2 linked regions of the Arabidopsis thaliana genome follow. The protein of the gene in region 2 interacts with the protein of the main gene of each other region in a pairwise test. Each region holds a gene or a part of one and is shown on either strand. Other genes may lie near its edges.

What was found. The genes of interacting proteins can lie anywhere in the genome.
Region 1: the proteins of AT2G40260 (region 2) and TGA10 interact in a two-hybrid assay, tested with the Arabidopsis thaliana proteins (one large-scale study listed by BioGRID).

What each region holds. Positions count from the first base shown.
Region 1 is NC_003076.8:2,118,890-2,126,473, forward strand, and holds TGA10 (bZIP transcription factor family protein), read left to right. Parts: upstream 1-1,582; 5' UTR 1,583-2,021; coding exon 2,022-2,095; intron 2,096-2,179; coding exon 2,180-2,301; intron 2,302-2,672; coding exon 2,673-2,764; intron 2,765-2,970; coding exon 2,971-3,099; intron 3,100-3,223; coding exon 3,224-3,289; intron 3,290-3,397; coding exon 3,398-3,457; intron 3,458-3,544; coding exon 3,545-3,622; intron 3,623-3,713; coding exon 3,714-3,795; intron 3,796-3,885; coding exon of another isoform or gene 3,886-3,888; coding exon 3,889-4,160; intron 4,161-5,304; coding exon 5,305-5,559; intron 5,560-7,175; coding exon 7,176-7,328; 3' UTR 7,329-7,568; downstream 7,569-7,584. Other genes in the region: AT5G06830 (uncharacterized protein), read right to left, coding at 1-61, 331-465, 610-670. UniProt on the Arabidopsis thaliana protein: Together with TGA9, basic leucine-zipper transcription factor required for anther development, probably via the activation of SPL expression in anthers and via the regulation of genes with functions in early and middle tapetal development.
Region 2 is NC_003071.7:16,816,021-16,820,462, reverse strand, and holds AT2G40260 (Homeodomain-like superfamily protein), read left to right. Parts: upstream 1-1,732; 5' UTR 1,733-1,989; coding exon 1,990-2,308; exon of another isoform or gene 2,309-2,432; coding exon 2,433-2,509; intron 2,510-2,603; coding exon 2,604-2,640; intron 2,641-2,765; coding exon 2,766-2,868; intron 2,869-2,948; coding exon 2,949-3,645; 3' UTR 3,646-3,933; downstream 3,934-4,442.

The sequences.
Region 1 (7,584 bases), on a different chromosome or scaffold from region 2:
CTTTCCGGAGTTGTCTTCAGGAGAATCTCATACACCTTTTTGACCTCCAAGTAACCGATCACTGGAAGCAAAACAACATTAAACTTGAATGAGAATACAACCAAGTAAGGCCCTCCTCCTAATCAATCATCAGACATAACCAAACAACAAACAAGCTTACGGTGTTCACAAAGATGCCAATAAAATCTCTTTGGCATTTTCAAACAAAATACTAACACTTTAAGTTATAAATGAGAGCAGTGAACCAAAACGCAATTTAAGACGAATTCGTTTTGAAGGTTTGAAAATTCGCCAAACTGATAAAAGAACAAAATTTGAAGAATTTAAAACCTTCAGGATCTAGGGTTTGAAAGAATGGATCGATCTCTTTAGGCAAAGAAGAGAACTCTTTTAAGATTTTGACTCTGATCACAGCAACCCTCTTCCTCCAATCCGCCGGAATTCTCTTCCGATCCACCAACCATTCTTCAAATTCAACAAAATTGAAATCAAATGAAGACAATAATCACCAACGCAGATTCGAATCCAACGAAGAAAACGAAAAAAAAAAACCAAAGAGATATAAAAATTTAAAATTCCGTGTACTCGTAATTGATAGTTCTGCATTACCTCCGAGACGAGAGAAGGTGATATCGATTGGAAGATTTTGAACATCATCTTGTGACGGCATTTTCTTCCGGTTAACCTTTCACGCTTTCTGGGAAATTTTATCTCCGAAGTCTCACACAGTTTAACGTTTTGGAGTCTCAAGAGTTTGCTACAGAAGAACGCATAATTTCATTGGTCTCATCAAATATCTCGAATCCGGTTATTGAACTAACCGAACCAATTTACTCCGGTCCGCGGCAGATTAAATTGTTTATTGGTTTTATATGGGTTGGTTGGATGGTCCATTACCGCGGTTAACATAAACTGGTCTATCTAGTAACGTCGGTTTTACCTTTACGGATTAGTCTACAGATTTTAAACTTTTTTTTCTTTACAAGTTAAAACTATTTTGAGGAAATTATTTGTATGAATATTTTGTGAATGATGGGAAAGAAATCAAAATTAGTTTACCAGCTCAATTTGATCAAACCAATTAGCTTAACAAAAACAAAACCTAGACCATATTAGTGCCCATTCAAACAAAGTACAATGGAACAGTTAGAGATACAAACAAAATTCAATCAATATATTTGACAATCTAAGTTCATAAATCACATAATAATGACTTTTAACTTGTTTCATATAATGTCTAGTGTTTATAGATTGAATGTAAGAGCGGTTAATGGATCATTAAAAATCGAATAAAAAATCTTATAATAATAATATAGATGATGGAATTGAAAAGTATATCTTAAAGTAAAAATCTAATAGCTGAATAATATATATAGGAGAAATATAATAATAATAATTTAGAGAACAAACAAAAAATATTTATACAAGTTTGTTATCAGCAATGTGACTAGAGAGAAGGAAGAAGAAGAGAGAGGGGATGGAAAAGGACATGTTCTTGACCGCTTTATCAGAATATTTTTCTTGGTTTCATACAAAAATAAAAACAAAGTCGTCTTCTAATATTTTAAGGTAGAAGAAACTTATACAACAAAAATATCAGAAAATAAAAAGGAGTTTGTCTTTAGGTTCTTCTCTCCAATCTCTATTTTTCTCTCCAATATCCTTCTTAAGTTTTTGAACCCTCTCCACTTCAATATAACCGACCTCTCTTCTCTCTTCTGAAAAAAACACCAAAGGAGCTTTAAATGCTCCGTTACATAATCTCTATCTCTTTCCAAGAATATAGAGAAAGGAAAATAATATACAAGAATTAAAAGAAGGTATATCATCATCTCTCTAGCTAGTGATCAAAGCACCGTCATCATCATCATATATCATCAGCTTGCCTCAGAGGAGAAGACCAACATAAGAGAGATCGAAGATCAAAATCTATCTCTCTTCATCATCTTCTGCTGTTACTATCATATCACACGCTCTCTCAAACATCATCCTATATATAGACTTCTCTTCATCATCATCAAATGCAAGGTCATCACCAGAATCATCATCAACACTTATCATCATCCTCCGCCACGTCTTCCCATGGAAACTTCATGTAATTTTTACTCACTTAATAACTTTTTGAATTGATTGATGATCCCCATGTTTTTAATAAGAGAGCTTTAATTTATGTGTGCAGGAACAAAGATGGGTATGATATTGGAGAGATAGACCCATCACTCTTCCTCTATCTTGATGGACAAGGACATCATGATCCTCCATCAACTGCTCCTTCTCCTTTACATCATCATCACACAACTCGTATGCACTCTCTCTCTCTCTCTTTTCTTTCTTTTTTGGGAATTGGGGTTTGTTTTTTTGGTTTCAGCAGATAAGGAAGATTCCCTTTAGGTGTGTGAGAGAGAGAGAGAGTCACAGCAAAAGCATGCCAAACAGATTTCAATCTTTCTTCTGCCATCAGTACTCTATTCTTTCAGCTTTGACCAGATCCTCTCTCTTTTCAGACACCAAATCTTTCAAATCCATATATCTTACACTTCTTTAAACCCTTTTCTCTCTCTGTCCTTTTTCTTCTAATTAGAAGAACTAGTCCGCTCACATATTTATATACATGACTTGTTATAACTAGACCATTTCTCATACATATGGTCACATGACTCATCTTATGGCAGAGAATTTGGCGATGAGACCTCCAACATCGACGCTCAACATCTTTCCATCTCAGCCTATGCACATAGAGCCACCTCCTTCTTCTACACACAATGTAATAATTATTACTATTACTTTATAAATTTCTATATATATATGCCAATTTTAGTTGGTTTCTGTTTCTAATTTAATATAATGTCAGCGCAACTACTAGCCATTTCATATAATATCAAGTCAGACCAATTATTATACGTTTCTTATTTTTCTATTGAGTAGTGATTTGATTGTTTTTTGGTTGTTTTATATAATGTGTTTGGTAAGACCGATAATACAAGATTAGTTCCGGCTGCTCAACCTAGTGGTTCCACTCGACCAGCTTCTGACCCGTCCATGGACTTGACCAATCATTCTCAGTTTCATCAACCTCCTCAAGGTTCTAAATCCATCAAGGTCTCTATCCATTTATGTTTTTTTAATCATTTAATTGCTTTGTCGAACTATAACTCGAGTATAGATATAGACTTGTTGTGGTTGTTTTTAGAAGTTAATGGGTCATATCTAAATGTTATGGCAGAAGGAAGGGAACCGCAAGGGTCTTGCCTCATCGGACCATGACATACCTAAATCGTCAGACCCTAAAGTGAGTGTATATTCATACAACTGCAGAAAATTAATAAGATTCTTTTTTTTTTTTTTTTTTTTACTTTTCGGTTTTTGATAGTTTCTTTATTAATTTAATTCTCAACAGACATTGAGAAGACTAGCACAAAACAGAGAAGCAGCAAGAAAAAGCAGATTACGTAAAAAGGTCAGCATTCAATATTTGTAAGTTGCAAATATAGTTTTTATATCCAAATTTATTTATAACGTTATTTGCTTTGGTAAATTACGACAGGCTTATGTTCAGCAACTCGAGTCATGTAGGATCAAACTGACCCAACTAGAACAAGAGATTCAACGGGCCAGATCCCAAGTAAATATTTGAACCTGTCTTTTCATATATATTGTATTTAACCTAAAGTCTAAAATGTACCAATTTAATTTGATTTCCTATATATGTTTAGGGCGTATTCTTTGGAGGGTCTCTTATAGGAGGAGATCAACAGCAAGGTGGACTACCCATTGGCCCTGGCAACATCAGCTCTGGTACGTTAATAGTTTCATAAATGTGATGACTCAAAAACCGTAAAATTTGAAAACCGAGAGAATGAGATATTGAGTAAATGCAATGTGAAGCAGAAGCAGCGGTGTTCGATATGGAATATGCGAGGTGGCTGGAGGAGCAGCAGAGGCTATTAAACGAACTAAGGGTGGCAACACAAGAACACTTGTCCGAGAACGAGCTTAGGATGTTTGTGGACACATGTTTAGCTCATTATGACCATTTGATTAACCTCAAGGCTATGGTCGCTAAGACCGATGTCTTCCACCTCATTTCTGGAGCATGGAAAACTCCAGCTGAACGTTGCTTCTTGTGGATGGGTGGTTTCCGTCCATCGGAGATCATTAAGGTACATCTCGTCTTTTCTTATAGCCATATACATATATTTAGGTTTTTCGAGAGATATTTACTTATTCTATTCGAGCCACATCCCACACAATAATTAGTCATGATGATATTGTAAACTAATCAAATATGGATTAATAAATCTAAATTTTGGAATTTTACTTGAAGACTAATCATTTTAAATTTTATCTTAGAACCTAAAATATTCCAGGATACAATCATTAATACCATCAATTTTGTGGATTACTTGCAGAACATATACTAATAATGACTGAAATTGTGACATTGTTATTATTTATATCGTACATATATGTCCACAGAATATAGTACTTCCAACTTTATTTTATTATTTAGATTTTTTTTTTTAATTTAGTCTTTGATTCTCGTAAAAGAGGTACGATATAGTAATAATAGATAAGACAGACAAGAGATAGACTATATAGTGATATTGTTGGACGAGGTATATATATACATAACATTGCATGGGGTGACTCTAGATGTATAAAACCAACATATATACGTGAATGTCTTTATATTACGACAATAATAAAGGTACACGTAAAATTATTTTGAAAACAAATTAAGAATGCATGCAATTGTGTGTGATGGTGAAGTATCTCTAGAAATAGGTAGGTTTTGGCATAATGCAAAAGAAAGTGCCTGTCTGTTTTTTCGATTTATGGGATCCATAGGAGAGAGAGATAGACATAAACCACCATGGAATTCAACAGAGACGACCATAATAAACAAACCAAAAATAAATAATTGTTTAACATTTTTAGCACGCTCGTCAATTGGATGATTATCATTTTTTTTCTTTTCTAAAATGGTTACGTAAAGCCATTTTAATTAAACCTACTTTTTATTCTAAACAATATGAGTACCTACGATAGCCGATTAATAATACAAATTAATATATGGATGGTGTGCATATCTGACAAGACCTTTGGCAATGTCTCAATCTTATATCCTTTTTAGTGAAAATAAAAAGGAAAGAAGAGATTTTGGGTGTAGCTAGTAACTCGTGCAGAGTACATACACTACACACTTTAATGCATTCAACGTTCTTTATGCATCCATTAAGACCATTGTTAATTAATCCTCGATATCTCAACTTGTGTGTATTAATTAGAAACGCATGCATGCAGGTGATTGTGAACCAGATAGAACCATTGACGGAGCAACAGATAGTTGGGATATGTGGGCTGCAACAGTCCACACAAGAGGCCGAGGAGGCTCTCTCGCAAGGCCTCGAGGCGTTGAATCAATCACTTTCCGATAGCATTGTCTCTGACTCCCTCCCGCCTGCCTCCGCACCACTTCCTCCTCATCTATCCAATTTCATGTCACACATGTCCTTAGCTCTCAACAAGCTCTCTGCTCTCGAGGGCTTCGTTCTCCAGGTACCCTTATAACTCTTTCTTTTTAAGTTTATGTGCAATTATATATCAATATACCAATCTTTTATCTTTATATAAAAATATACCTATAGAGTTGATATACAAGTGGACCCCTAGAGGATATATGTGGTCCTAATCAGACTAGGAATACATATTCTGTTTCTTTGAACTACTCCTTATTAAACTCAACTATCATATACTTATATATTTCTATATTTGGCTGTTATAACACGCTATCTAAATTTATATAGATGTTTGTATATATGTGTGTGTCTGTTTTGTGTACAACTCATATATAGGTATAACGTCGGCCATAATTTGTTAGAGGACATTTGTAATATATTAAGTGTATATAGAATAAAAGTGGTTGATTTTAAAGAAGATGTCAAAACTAATTCGCAAACTTAATAATTATGCATTAACATGTATATGTATATGAAATGGAAAGTATTTGCCTCTTGATTCGGACATTATGCAAGTAGGTATCTAACAAACACTTCTCTTGTCTTATATCAACTTGGTCGGGTTGCTTTTCTTAGACGACCAAGTTTATTAATTTAATATTTATTTCTTAATCATTTACTAGTTTAGGACAGGCAAGTTTTTGAAACAAAGAAATATATATATCTGCTTGTGTATATTAATGTATAAGTCTATACTCTATATGCAAATGGACATTTCGGCTAATTAATTCTATACAAGATACATGCATATACAAGTTGGCATCTTTCAATGATTTCTTAATATAATTAGTTCTAAATTGTTCCTGTTCCGCCTATAAAAAAAGTTTTTGTGTTTCGCTACACGGTTAGTCGCTCACAATTTGGAGAAAGATCCAACTTTAAAATAGGTGGTAAATGTGGGGTTAGTTACTAAAAAGGGGTAATGAATTCAATTTTCTCTAAACGCACGTGACAATTGGCACCATGAAAGTATGTATTAAGTATACATATTCCAATATATGTAGTCCAAAAGAAAAATACATATATTATGTATCTATAATATATCACATCAAATAAAAACATGGAATGCTTGGAGCCCATATCGTTGCATGATGTCATGGACGTAACTGCCCAAGTATCCCATCCTCCGAAAACACTTCCTTGAGAATAATTCCTTTACTTACATTTGATTCTGCATTTTTTTGTCTACTTTTATATCATTGATAATAGGTTGATTATATATGTATGATTCTAATTAATGATCAAAAGTATCATGAAGCATGGCGTGGGACCGAGGGTATGGAATTCACGGTTTCACCTTTTTGACATGTTGGTGTCGTGTTCTTATTAGTGAATTACTAACAAGCTTTGATTTTTTGATCGATCAACATGTTGAATAATCGGCATTAGTCGTCAATCAACCACATAATTTCGGGTCATGCACAATCATTATAATGCTTAATTAGTCCTTTATCTGTTTTTTTCCTCTCTAGTTAGTCTTTAATACTTATATTTATGAGATTAATGATGGTCCAATTCGATTATTTGTCCTTAATTGGTCTTAGTCAATAACATGTGCACTACTTTGTCCATCTTTTGTTTTGCTTTTACTATTTCTCCATTTTCCCTATAACTCTTATTTAGTTTTGAACTAGCTAATACATTAGAAACTTACAGGCGGATAATTTGAGGCACCAAACGATCCATAGGCTGAACCAATTGTTGACGACCCGTCAAGAAGCACGGTGTCTTCTAGCCGTTGCGGAGTACTTCCACCGTCTTCAAGCTCTAAGTTCTCTCTGGCTAGCCCGTCCTCGGCAAGATGGATAATACTAAAACAACTGATGAAGGAAACCAAAAACAAAAACAAGAGAATAGGTTGATTAGTTAGCCGCCAGCTTGACCTCTTTATCATATATATCGTCTCTCTACTCAAATACAGTGCAATTAGGGAAAATTGTTTGGCTTCTTTTTGTTATATGATTCTTACTATTATGTTTTTAATCAAGATGCAGATTATATATATAGACAAGTATTCCATACCTTTTAATGAATTCTTCCTTATGCAAATTCAAGTGAAAAATTA
Region 2 (4,442 bases):
TACCGTAGTTAATATACCCTTTTTTTGTCAATACCGTGATTGATATTAATACTTAGCATTTGGTATCTGTTGGGTCGTATAATTGATCATGGGTTGTCTGAGCATGGAAGTAGGATTATAGGGTAGATATGAAGAACGTCATTCTAACGTAAATTATTATTGCTACACTTTTAAAACCAAAATATACGACAGCTTTAATTCTTCCTACCAATTAATAACGACGACGAAAATATACGATTACGGCTGGACATTGGGCTTCCAAAAACGATTTTGAAAAAAAAAAAAAAAACAGAAAGAAATGTCATATACCTAATTTATTTGACCGATGACTTTCACATTATCTGGTCACCATTCACAAAATTTGACACAGTACTTGCATGTCGCTTACAAGAAAAATTAGCCTGCTGATGTTAGAGGAATACAGATAGATACAATTCTGCCTTGACCCTCTCCTGGAGGCGCAAAGTTCATGACAATAAGTAAATCATATATTATACATTTTAATTTTCTCCTTTCTAAGTTCTTAAAAAAGTATGACATCCCCTACTTTGCCTACTTCCTTAATTTCACAAAAATAAAAGTATGACATACTTAATTAGAACATATCTTTTGTTTAGTATTTTACTAGTAATTTTAATAGTACGTACGCTATATAGAACGAACTAATCACCCCTGAACTGAATTCCAAACTAAATCAATTGGTTGCATGTGTGTACGTACAGAAACTCATATAATTCTCAAGTTCAATTCTGTGATAATCATGTGACTTATTAGCTTCAGTTGTTATATTCTGTATCCTAATTTATTTATTTATTTTTTAACATTTATTTGGGTTATATATAGAAAAAGAGATGTACTATTTGCATGTATATAGAGAGAGGCGCATGTGTAGATAATTATAGATAATATGAAATCGTAAGAGTAGTGGAGATGGAGACAAACCCGTGATTGTCGTTGGTGACAGAAACAAGTAGTAATATTTTCTTCTCGTGTCTTTCAGTGAAGACAGCCCAGCCAAGCACCTTTTAACTTCTGTCTGATTCCTCTCTCTATGCTCTTTCTCTGTCTATCTATCTAATTATGCTTTTGGGTTTCTTCTTTTTCTGGTTTCACAGCTTTGGCTTTGAAGTCACGAGCCCATCCCCCTAACCATCCCCTTTTATGCTTTGCTTTTCTAGTCAATTTAATTCATGAGTTGTAACGATGGAAGAAGTTTCATTTATCTAATTAATGTGTATGCCTCATTAATGTTGCCTTCTTCCTATATTGCTAAAAGCTAGTTCGAATGAAACAAAAACACGTACCAAATCCAATGAAAAACATAGATCTTCAGTTGGTTTTGAAAGAAAGAACAAAAAAAATTGTTAATGTACATGTCATATTGAACCCTGATTTATGTCATAAAATTGGTATACGTACGGGTTGATATCATGAAAACGTTTGATCTTTTACCATGAAAATGATCATTATTTAGATAAATTCAATCTACTCCTTGGAATTTCTTTTCACTCCCTATCACAACGAGATTCAAAGATTAATTGTACTAATTGACTTAATAGTTATTAACTCATTTTAAAATACATCTTATGACTGAAGTTACTAATGTTTAATGAAATTAAAAGTACCATTTTTGTCATGAGGTGTAATTCTAGATCTATCTTTCCCTAAGATGTATATAACTGTAGAAAAAACCATTGGTGTAATAAAAAGCTATATATTAAATAGAATTTAGAATATCCGTTGCCATCATATACATATTTCAACATATATGTTGAGTTGGAGAGAGAGGGGGAGAAAAAGGAATGATGGATACAAGCATCCAAAAAGTCATACACATAGACCATCAAAAGTCTTCACCTTAAATTCCTAACACATATGTATGAGTGTGTGATCTTTGTTTGATCTTTGTCCAGAGAACTCCAAGATAGACCAAAAAGGTTCAACCTCAAAACAAACAACACAAAAACAGCCAAATAGCTAGAGACCAAGATGAGATCAAGCAGCCAAAATTCTGAAAACTCCAAGACTTGTCTATCTAACAACATCAAAGCAACCACCAAGAATGAAGAAGATAAAGATGAAGAGGATGATGAAGAAGGCGAAGAGGATGAAGAAGAGAGATCTGGAGATCAGAGCCCATCTAGCAATAGCTATGAGGAAGAGAGTGGGAGTCACCACCATGATCAGAACAAGAAGAATGGAGGATCCGTGAGGCCGTACAACCGCTCAAAGACTCCGAGGCTGCGATGGACGCCGGAGCTCCATATTTGCTTTCTTCAAGCTGTGGAGAGATTGGGTGGCCCAGATAGTTGAGTTTCAATTATATATATGAATCAATATCAAGATCATTGCATATGTGAAGATCTCTAAATTTCTAGGGTTTTCTTGTTGATATTTATTTGGGGTCTCTTTCAATGATTTTGTTGAAACAGGAGCAACACCGAAGCTTGTTCTCCAATTGATGAACGTCAAGGGGCTAAGTATTGCCCATGTTAAGAGTCATCTTCAGGTTTTGCAAATATCCACATACACATAGAGTATATATCTATATACATCATTGAGATCTTCATCTGAAATCATACTTCATTTTTTTTTCTTCTTAGATGTACAGAAGCAAGAAGACCGATGAGCCTAATGAAGGTAGTTTACTTAGCTTTCTTCTACCTTCTGATTTAAGTTAGGGCTTCTATAAATCTTATAATTGAATTCGACGAGAAATTGACTAATTCTTGTCTCTCGTGTTTTATCTTTTCTTATAACTACAGGAGATCAAGGATTTTCGTTTGAACACGGAGCTGGTTACACTTACAACCTTAGCCAACTTCCAATGCTACAAAGTTTTGATCAAAGGCCTTCTTCTAGTTTAGGGTATTTACAAACTCTTCAGCTAGCTATCTTTAAACTATAAGTTAAAATTACGTGTGTGTAACTTGGAATGTATTCAATAGATATGGTGGTGGTTCGTGGACTGACCACAGACGACAGATCTACCGTAGCCCTTGGAGAGGATTAACGACACGAGAAAATACAAGAACAAGACAAACAATGTTTAGCTCACAGCCTGGTGAGAGATATCACGGAGTTAGCAATAGTATTCTTAACGATAAGAACAAAACTATTTCATTTCGAATCAATTCTCATGAAGGGGTTCATGATAACAATGGAGTAGCTGGAGCTGTTCCAAGAATTCATAGAAGTTTTCTTGAAGGTATGAAAACGTTTAACAAATCATGGGGACAGAGCCTCTCTTCCAATCTTAAGTCCTCCACCGCAACAATACCACAAGATCATATTGCTACAACGCTAAATTCTTATCAATGGGAGAATGCTGGAGTGGCAGAAGGATCAGAGAATGTTTTGAAGAGGAAGAGGTTATTATTTTCTGATGACTGCAATAAGTCAGACCAAGATTTGGATCTAAGCTTGTCCCTTAAGGTACCTCGGACACACGACAATCTTGGAGAATGCTTGTTAGAAGATGAAGTAAAAGAACATGATGATCATCAAGATATCAAGAGTTTGTCTCTTTCGTTATCATCTTCAGGTTCATCAAAACTCGACCGAACCATTAGGAAAGAAGATCAAACTGATCACAAAAAGAGAAAGATTTCGGTCTTGGCAAGTCCCCTTGATCTCACTCTGTGAATATGTATAACAACTTATATACGTATATTCTAAGTGAGATCTTGTGGTACTTGTTGATGGAAGACGGTTCTGTATTGTTGTTTATCATTCGTTGCATACTTGTGACAAGACCCATAATTAAGGAAATAATAGAGACATTTTTTAATGTTTTTTATTAAAAAAAAATTCACATAATTTTGTCGAGATCGTTAAATGCATATTTTAAAATATATATGATTTGTGATCGAGTTGGGAGCAGAAATTTGTTTTCTTCTAAATAGTATAGTAACCAAGAAATACATTAGTGAGAGTCTATATATATGGTTTTGAGAGTTACAAGACATTGCACGTTGTCTATAAGCTTGTCTAGACGTTGCAATGTATATGTAGTTTACTCTCACATAACAAGTATCCTAAGCAATATTTTTGTTTTAACATGGAGATATTGTCTGAAAATTTATACGTTAACGTCAAATCAGTGAATACAAGAAAAGAAGATGAAGACTTCCGAGTCATAGCTTTCTGAGCTATAGCATTATTATTTTTATAAAGACGAGTTTTTGCCTTCTTCAAAATCGTTTTATAAATTATTCTATGTTTTAGATTTGTAGTTGAAATTATATGAAAGGTCCGTTAATTTAAAAATCAGGTCTGCTGAATGTTTTGTTTGTATTAAAAAAACAAAAAAAAAAAAACAAATCGGTTCTGATAACCAACCAAAGTTTATTTTAATTTAGTTGCGAGGTTAATTAAGAAAAAAAGAAGACACTTTCTTTAAGAGAAAATTGGAGAGAACGACAAGAAGACAGATGTACTTG